Linked DNA regions of Oryctolagus cuniculus. The protein of the gene in region 1 purifies or fractionates together with the protein of each later gene. This does not show direct contact. Links are inferred from orthologs where the notes say so. Each region holds a gene or a part of one and is shown in the gene's direction. Other genes may lie near its edges.

What was found. The genes of interacting proteins can lie anywhere in the genome.
Region 2: the proteins of TUBGCP2 (region 1) and LGALS3BP purify together in Homo sapiens (affinity purification with mass spectrometry; 3 studies listed by BioGRID and IntAct, counting the BioPlex papers as one, with this or other methods). This does not show direct contact. The link is inferred for Oryctolagus cuniculus from reciprocal best matches to the Homo sapiens genes TUBGCP2 and LGALS3BP.

Annotation. Positions count from the first base shown.
Region 1 is NC_091446.1:266,174-270,184, forward strand, and holds part of TUBGCP2 (gamma-tubulin complex component 2), read left to right. Parts: intron 1-2,102; coding exon 2,103-2,310; intron 2,311-2,500; coding exon 2,501-2,700; intron 2,701-2,983; coding exon 2,984-3,173; intron 3,174-4,011. UniProt on the Homo sapiens protein: Component of the gamma-tubulin ring complex (gTuRC) which mediates microtubule nucleation.
Region 2 is NC_091448.1:2,763,416-2,768,039, forward strand, and holds the start of LGALS3BP (galectin-3-binding protein), read left to right. Parts: upstream 1-1,438; 5' UTR 1,439-1,592; intron 1,593-2,813; 5' UTR 2,814-2,834; coding exon 2,835-2,886; intron 2,887-3,566; coding exon 3,567-3,758; intron 3,759-4,592; coding exon 4,593-4,624.

The DNA of each region.
Region 1 (4,011 bases):
TCAGCCTCTGTTCTTTGTGGCCTCTCCAGGGACGCTGATCCCCCCCCCCCCACGGTGAGCAGCTCAGCCAGGCTGGCACCGTCTGGCCCTCAGCCTGTCTCTGGCCAGTCTGTTTGGGGGCGCTGGCACCTCGTACCCCTGTCCCTGGAGTATTCATGAAGCCTTGTGCACCCTCAGAGCTCAGCCAGAAATCCCAGCAGTGCCCCCACGGCTGTCCACACTGTGGTCACGCCTAGTGTGGCAGGGTGATGCCATGCGCCTGCTTTCCTTGCTGTCTGGTCTCTGCACTCGTGCAGTGGCGGGCATGCGGAGTGGCATCGCAGGCGGTCAGCACACACTGTTGAGGGAGCAGACTCGCGGCCAGATGCGGCACCCAGGTGAGCACCTGGGGAAGTGAAGCGCGCGCTCGCACAGCACTTGTGCTGCTCCCCAGGGCTTCCAGGCCGAGGTGAGCCGAGTGGTGGGAGTGAGCCAGAGGCAGCACCTGAGTGCCAGCAGAGGTGGGGTCAGATGTCGCTGGAGTCGGGCCTTCAGGCCCGGGGAGAAACAGGACAGGCCAGCAGAGGTGGGGTCAGATGTCGCTGGAGTCGGGCCTTCAGGCCCGGGGAGAAACAGGACAGGCCAGCAGAGGTGGGGTCAGATGTCACTGGAGTCAGGCCTTCAGGCCCGGGAGAAACAGGACAGGCCAACAGAGGTGGGGTCAGATGTCGCTGGAGTCGGGCCTTCAGGCCCGGGGAGAAACAGGACAGGCCAGCAGAGGTGGGGTCAGATGTCGCTGGAGTCGGGCCTTCAGGCCCGGGGAGAAACAGGACAGGCCAGCAGAGGTGGGGTCAGATGTCGCTGGAGTCGGGCCTTCAGGCCCGGGAGAAACAGGACAGGCCAGCAGAGGTGGGGTCAGATGTCGCTGGAGTCGGGCCTTCAGGCCCGGGAGAAACAGGACAGGCCTGGGGAGAAACGGAGCTGCGAGCACAGGAGCAAGCGCTGTGATCCCAGTGTTTGCCACGTGGCTGCTGCCTGGGCCAGCCTCCGCTGCCCTTGTGGGACACTTCCCTTCCCAGCAGGTGTGTGAGGCCACGCTCAGTGGTTTTGTGAACCACACAAGTGTGCCCTCTAATGCCCCCACAAGGTCCCAGGCTGTGGCTTTCTGGTTTCATGTTTAAAGATTGAGATCTTCCAACCTCTGGTTCACTCCCCAAATGGCCACAGTGGCCGGAGCTAGGCCAGGCCGAAGCCAGAAGAGCCAGGAACTCCATCCTTGTCCCCGACATGGGTGCAGGGCCCACGCACCTGGGCCGTCTTGTGCTGCATCCCAAGCCGTTAGCAGGCAGCTGGATGGAAAACAGAGCAGCAGGCCCTTGAGTCAGTACTGCAGTAAGGGATGCTGGTGCTGAAAGCTGCGGCTTAACCCACTGCACCAGTGCTGGCCCCCTGCACCCTGGTTGATTGGCCCCCACTGAGTGTGTGGGGACATCCGGGACAGCCCCACTGTCAGCTGGAGGTTCGCTCCTGCTGCTCGGCGGTCTGTCAGGTTGCATGCATCCTGCAGCCGTCTCGGTGCATGTGACAGAAACGCAGTTCTTGGGGCGGGTGTCGGCACAGCAGGTTGGGCCGCCACCTGCAGTGCCAGCATCCCTCCCACACTGGAGCGATGGTTCAAGTCCGGCTGCTCTGCTTCTCATCCAGCTCCCTTCTAATACACCTGGGAAGGCAGCAGAAGATGGCTAAGGTGCTTAGTCTCCTGCACCCATGTGGAGACCCAGAAGGAGGTGTGGCTCCTGGCTTGGGCCCAGCCCCGGCTGTTGCAGCCATCTGGGGAGTGAAAACAGTTGAGTTCTTCAAGTTTGGAACGGTGTCATCTTAAGGAGGAGCCTACAAGCATGGCTGGTGCTGGGAGCACGCTGCCCCCGCTGTGCCCCCCAGGTGTCAGGTGTCCAGGGCCTGTGCTCAGTGGGAGGAGCCGGGGCAGTCTGCACCTGCCTTGCTGCCACAGTGTCTGAGCTCCTGACCTGCGGTCACTTGAAGTCACTGACTGCCTGTGCCAGTGAAGGCAGGTGTGACTGGCCAGTGGGGCCCTGCGAGCCTGCCCCGTCTGTGCCCTGCAGGTGCGCTGCCCTTGGCTTCCCAGGAGTCCGCTGTGGTGGAGGACTTGCTGTACGTGCTGGTGGGTGTGGATGGCAAGTATATCACTGCCCAGCCCCTGGCCGGGAGGCAGAGCCGCACCTTCCTCGTGGACCCCAACCTGGACCTGTCCATCCGGGAGCTGGTAAACAGAATTCTCCCCGTGGCTGCCAGCTATTCCACCGTGACCAGGTAGGTGCTCAGCCCCAGGAGCCCGTCCTGTGTAGGCAACAAGGCGTCTGCTGGTGAGCGCAGAGGCCGTGCCTGTCCCGCTGTGGGGCAAGTCCCTGCCCGGCGTCCTGGCTCCCTGCTTCCAGCAGGGACGGGGCTGAGTGAGCCCTGTGCTCCTGCTCAGGGCGGCCCTGGGGTGTTTTCCTGGCAGGTTCATTGAGGAGAAGTCGTCCTTCGAGTACGGGCAGGTGAACCACGCCCTGGCGGCCGCCATGCGCACCCTCGTGAAGGAGTACCTGATCCTGGTCACACAGCTGGAGCAGCTGCACAGGCAGGGTCTCCTGTCCCTGCAGAAGCTCTGGTTCTACGTGCAGCCGGCCATGCGCACCGTGGACATCCTGGCCTCCCTCGGTATGCAGCCAGCCTGGGGGCAGCGCGTGAGGGGCGGTCCAGGCCGGGAGGGGCTGTGTGGTTCGCACTTCCAGACCCAGAGGCCTGTACCAAAGCCTGTGTTGCTTTATGTTTTACGGATTTGTGGGAGAAAGCCCGGGAGCTTTTTGACGAGCTTTAGGTGCCGGTGACATCTTCACAGTTGGGGGTGCTCCCAGAGGAGGAGCACCTGTCGCATGAGAGTGGGAGGAGCCCCAGGAGACGCCTGTGGGTCCCCAGCTCTGAGCCCCCCTGCTCCCTGCAGCCACCTCTGTGGATAAGGGTGAGTGCCTCGGGGGAGCAACGTTGAGCCTGCTCCACGACAGGAGCTTCAACTACACAGGCGACAGCCAGGCTCAGGAGCTGTGCCTGTACCTGACCAAGGCGGCCAGCGCACCCTACTTTGAGGTTCTGGAGAGGTGGATCTATCGGGGGATCATCCATGACCCCTACAGGTAGGCCCCTGCTCAGCCAGGGCCCCGTGGCCATGCGCGGCCGCCGTCCCCCAGACAGAGCCTGTGTGCACAGCCGAGGGCTGGGGTGCGATTGGCTGCACCCGGTGACTAGTGTGTTGTGTAGGGGACGTTGGCGCTGCCTTGATTCGGGATCCTTGGGCTTCCAGGTGTGACACTGCCTGTAGGTGCTTCCGCTGTGGGCGTTCGAGTGACGGGGGCACTGTCCACACCCAGAGCTTTGGTTCTTTGGTGTTAAGATGGGAGAAGTGAGCCTGCAGTGCAGGCGTCTGGCTGGGCCTCACACCACAGCGCCCAGCTTGCCACGGTGACTCCTCGGGAATATGCCCTGACGGTGTCGGGCTCACGGCCCCTGACGCCAGTGCTGTTTCAGAGCCTGTGTTCATCGTGGAGGCAAATGCTAAATTCCAGGAGAGGTAGATCAGTCGCCATCCAGCTCTGTGCACCCTTGAGTTCCCCTGACTCCAGGTTAAATATCCAGTTTCGGGGTGAGGTTTCTAGGTTCATTTTATTCTTTAAAGGTTCATTTATTTGAAAGAGACAGAGACGGAGAGGTGAGAGAGAGAGAGAGAGAGATCACCTATCTGCTGGTTTACTCCCCAGATGGCCACAGTGGCTGAGGCTGGTCCGGGGCAAAGCTGGGAGCCCAGGACCCCATCTGGGTCTTCCACGTGGCCGGCAGGGGCCTAGTTTGGGCCATTGGTCACTGCCTTCCTAGAGAGCTGGGTTGGAAGCAGAGACTTGAGCCCATTCGGGATAAGGTGCCAGTGCCCCAGGTGGCAGCTCCTGTAGGTTTATTGTAACTCACGGTTGAGAAGTG
Region 2 (4,624 bases), on another chromosome or scaffold:
CCTTGGTCGCACAGGCCTGAGGCGGGAGGAGGCTGGCTCTGGGCACCCTGCAGCTCCGTGTAGAAGTCACTGCTCTGCCGGTCCACTTCCTCCCGCGTGGACCAGAGCGGTCTCAGCTTCCCGCCCGTGGCCCATCCAGGTGGGGGTCGGCGCCTCGCCGCGCGTGTGCCCAGGCCTCGAGGGCGGCTTGGGCGGAGTCTGACCCAAGCCTGCCTGGCGCTTGGCAGAGAGCCTTGGCCTTGGAGACAGAAGTGGCGGTGAGGGGTTCTGCCTCCAGCTGTGGCCGTCCAGGCCTGCGGGCCCCCGGGGGCTCAGATGAACCAAGCAGGGGAACAGCCACGGGTCCCACCCAGCGGCTCCCAGAGCTGCCACGTGCTGACAGGGCCCCTGCCTGCCCCCGCCCCCTGGGAGTGCGTGCAGCTCCAGGTGGTTCTGTTCGGGGCCCTCATCTGGGCCCATGGGACGCAGGAACAGAAGCCAGAGATAGGGGGCCAGCATTTTGGCTCAGCTGGTGAAGCCGCCACCCATGAGGCCGGCATCCCATGTGAGTGCCAGTTCGAGTCCCGGCTGCTCCACTTCTGATCCAGCTCTCTGCTGTGGCCTGGGAAAGCAGTGGAAGATGGCCCAATCCTGGGCCCCTGCACCCGCATAGGATACCGGAGAATGCTCCTGGCTCCTGCTTTAGATCAGCTCAGCTCTGGCCATTGTGGTCGTTTGGGGGAGTGAACCAATAGATGGAAGACCTCTGTCTCTCTCCCTCTCTGTCTCTCCCTCTTTGCCTTTCAAATAAATAAATCTTTTTAAGAAAAGAAACCAGAGGTGATGTTGATCGGGTCACTGGGCCGCTGGGCCCAGGACCTCACACCCAGCGTGGTGGCTCAGGGCGCCATCCCCTGAGAGGACGCTGCTCCCGCTGGGCTGTCTGGGCGCACAGCCCTCCCCGACACCATCCCTGCGGCCAAGGGCGCCCTGGGACCTCGCAGCTGGGGATGGAGGCGGGGGGGGGTGGTGTGTGCTGGGCGGGGCCATTCGTGTTCCCGTTAGGGGAGTGACCGCTCTGCAGTGTGGGTGGTCAGCCCAGCGTGGACAAGGCCAGGCCCTGGTGTCAGGTACTGGGGCAGCTCCAGCTCAGCCACGTGCCGGCCGCTTTCCTGGTCTCCCAGGGCTCAGGGCCCCCTGCCCGACTGCCTGCGGGGGTCAGTGCCCTGCAGCCTGGCGGGGTGTGGGCTGCCCACCCAGCCAGCAACGTGCTGGGCCCAACCCTGCCAGGACACAGCGCTGCCGTCTGCCCCAGGGCCTCTGCTCCGCTGTCCCAGGCTGGCCTTCGTGTTGTGGTCCTGCCCCTCGCTGTAGGTCTTGTTGTCAGAACTTGGGTGGCTGCCATCCCCACCCCCACAGCCAGAGCAGGAAGGAAGAGGGGGCCTGGCCAGCAGAGCTGCAGCCAACCCCAGCGGAGGCTGCAGTCAGGTGGTTTGTGGGAATCGAAAGTCGTCCCTGTTCCCTGGAGCACTTCCTGGGGCCGCCCCTCCACACTGCAGGCTGGGCCTCCAGCAGAGGCGGGAGCCTCCCGCACAGCCACCTGTGCCAGGCAGGTAAGCCCCTGTCTACGCAGGCAGCCAGCGTGGGCCACACTGCAGGCACCGGGCCTGGAGCAGGGCGCCCCGGGCTCCCGAGTCCAGGGACCACCCCCGCCGCGCCTGGGCCCGCAGGGCCTCTGTGTGTGGTTGTTCCCTGCACAGGGACCCGGCCGAGGCAGGAGGGGCCAGCGTTGAGCCCTCAGCCCTGTCTTGGGCCTGCGCGTCCCCGCCCGGGCCTGGCCCCAAGGCCTTGTTCTCACCTGCACGACAGCACCGCACGGAGGGCGGCGGCCACGTGCCAGGGCCTCGCGTGGCCCCCATGTCCGGGGCCCTGACTTCCTGTCCCCAAGGGAACAAAGCCGGCCCTGCAGCTCCCTGGGAAGTGGGGCAGGGACAGCAGGTGGCCCTGGCCCTCCTGCCCGTGAAGGGCGCGCGGAGCCCTTGGCTTCCCTGGACAGCAGCCCCTGCACGGTCGTTGGGGCCAGGACAGCTACTGTGCGAGGGGCCCTGGGTGACCACGTAGTGCGGGCAGCCACGCCGGGCCCCCCACAGACTGCTGCACTGGGTCCCAGCGCTCGCGCAGCAGTGAGGAGCCGGGCCTGCCTGGCGGGTGTCCAGGCCCCCGCTTGTAGCCAGTGCTGCTAGTGGCCACCGCGGGTGTCCCAGAGAAGCAAACGCTGGCTCTGCCGGGGGCAGCAGGGCGGGCGGGGACGGGGGTGGGAGGTGCCCTGGGGAGGACCCCACGGCCTCTCCCAGCCTGTGTGTCCTGGGGACCGGAGCCGAAGTCCACGTCGTCCCCCTCTGGCCTCCCCCCAAGGGGCTCTCAGACACGCCCGTCTCCCACGGAGCTGCAGGGAGAACCCGCCAGGCAGGGACTCCCTCCCCCTCCTCCCCGACCCGAGCCCAGCCTCTCTGGGGCCCGGATTTCACTCCTGTCGGAGCCCCTGCCCTGCCTCTCACCTCCCTTCCCCTCTGCCCGCCTTGGGTGCCTCTGGGGCTCTGCCGCGCCCTGGGCCCCCGGCTGCGCCTCCCCCTCCCTCGCCCCTGCCTCTGGCCCAGGCTCACTCTGCCTGCAGCCCAGGCACAGCCCCCCCCAGGCATCCATGGCACAGGTCGCCTTCTTGTTCATCATGGGGAGATCTCGGGGGGGGGTTGCGGGAGGGGGTCCCTGTGTGCCCCGCAGCGGAGTGGAGGACGGGTCGGGGTGCGGGCTCACGCCGCTTCCTTCTGCTGCAGGGTCAGGGCTCCAGGGAGGCCATGGCCCCCCCACGGCTCTTCTGGGTGTGGCTGCTGCTCGCCGGGACTCGAGGTGAGCTGAGCCCGGGAGGTGCCCAGGGCCGAAGTCCACGCGCCTGCTGCCGCCCTGCCCCGCGGGGTCAGGGTCGGGGTTGGGGTCGGGGTGGGCCCCTCCTCCGGAGAGCTGGGAGGTGCTGGCCAGGTCTCTCCTGCCTCAAGCCAGGCGGTACCCAATGAGGGTGGCTTGTGTCTTCCGGGGACCCCGGGTTCTGGCTTTGGGGGGATGGGGAGGGGACCCAGGAACTCTGTCCCCAGTGGGGATGGGGGCAAGCACATAGGCCGGTGGCGGGGGTGGTCGTGAGGCCAGCAGCCTCTGGACACAGGCCAGGCCTCCAAGGGTCCTGGACACCTCCCTCCCCCTCCCCCTCGCCAGTCCTGGAGCCCATGGACGCCCCTGCTCGGCTGCCCTCGAGGGCCCCCACCCAGTCCTCTCTGGGGTCCTGCCCCTCTTGTCCAGTGCTGGAGAGCACCGGTTCCTCGTCCGTGTCCCTGTCCCTGTCCTCAGCTCCGGCCACGCGGACCAGGGAGACAAGTCAGCCTCGCGGGCTGGGGGCGGGGTCTGCACGGGTGTCACCCAGCCAGGGTGGAGGGCGCTTTGACGTGAGGGACCGGCCAGCCTGACCGGGGAAGCCCTTACAACCGCCGCGCTGCTGGGTGGGCGCCGCGTCCAGCTGACCTTTGCCCTCTCCGCAGGCGAGAAGGACGGGGACATGCGGCTGGCCAACGGGGACGCAGCCAACGAGGGCCGCGTGGAGATCTTCTACAGGGGCCAGTGGGGGACCGTGTGCGACAACCTCTGGGACCTGACGGACGCCAGCGTCGTCTGCCGGGCCCTGGGGTTCCAGAATGCCACCGAGGCTCTGGGCAGAGCCGCCTTCGGGCCAGGTGGGGCTGCCCATGCCCAGCACTGAGACAGGCCCGCTGCAAGGCCTCTGGGCCTGTTCCCTCTGGCCGCTCCGTGCTGGGCCAGTCCCCTCTGGGCCTGATCCTGAACCGTTCCCTCCCGAGGAGAATCTGTGGGCAGGAAGTGCCCGCTCCCCGCTGACTGAGTCTGGAAAAAAAGGGGAAAAACCCAAATTCGCAGCGGCGGGGCCCACAGCGTGAGCCAAGCCCAGGTGTTGGCCGTAAGAGATCCAAACCCACGCTGGACCGGCACCGTGGAATAGCCCGGTCCGAGGCCTGCATACAGGGGACGCACGCTGCAGAGGCGCGGGAACCCCAAAAACCAGCCCCCCGTTTTCTGAAAAGTCTCCTCCAGGGCAGGTGTGTGGGTCCGTGGATCAAGCTGCATCCCAGCCCGAGTGCCGCCCCGCCCCCGTCCAGTCCAGCTTGCAGCAGGTGACGGCCCACGTACCCAGGTTCCTGCCACCCTGTGGGAGACGCAGTGGGCGCTCCTGGCCCTTCGGCCTGGCCCAGTCCCGGCTGTTGCTGCCATTTGGGGAACGAACGGGAGGTTTCTCCATCTCAAATAAATAATACTTGAGCATTTTTTCAAGTGAGCGACAGAGGGAGCTCCCGTTTGCTGGTTCCGTCCCCAAATGCCCGAAATCTCTGGGCCAGGGCTGGAGCCGGAGGCCAGGAGACAATCCAGGCTTCCGTGTGCGTAGCCCGAGCCATCGCTGCTGCCTGCACGGGCTGCGTTGACAAGCAGCTGCCGCCCCGGCCACGGGCCCGGCGCCTGCTCACGCCCCGGCCCTGTCCACTTTGCTGCGCCGACAGGAACAGGCCCCGTGATGCTGGACGAGGTCGTG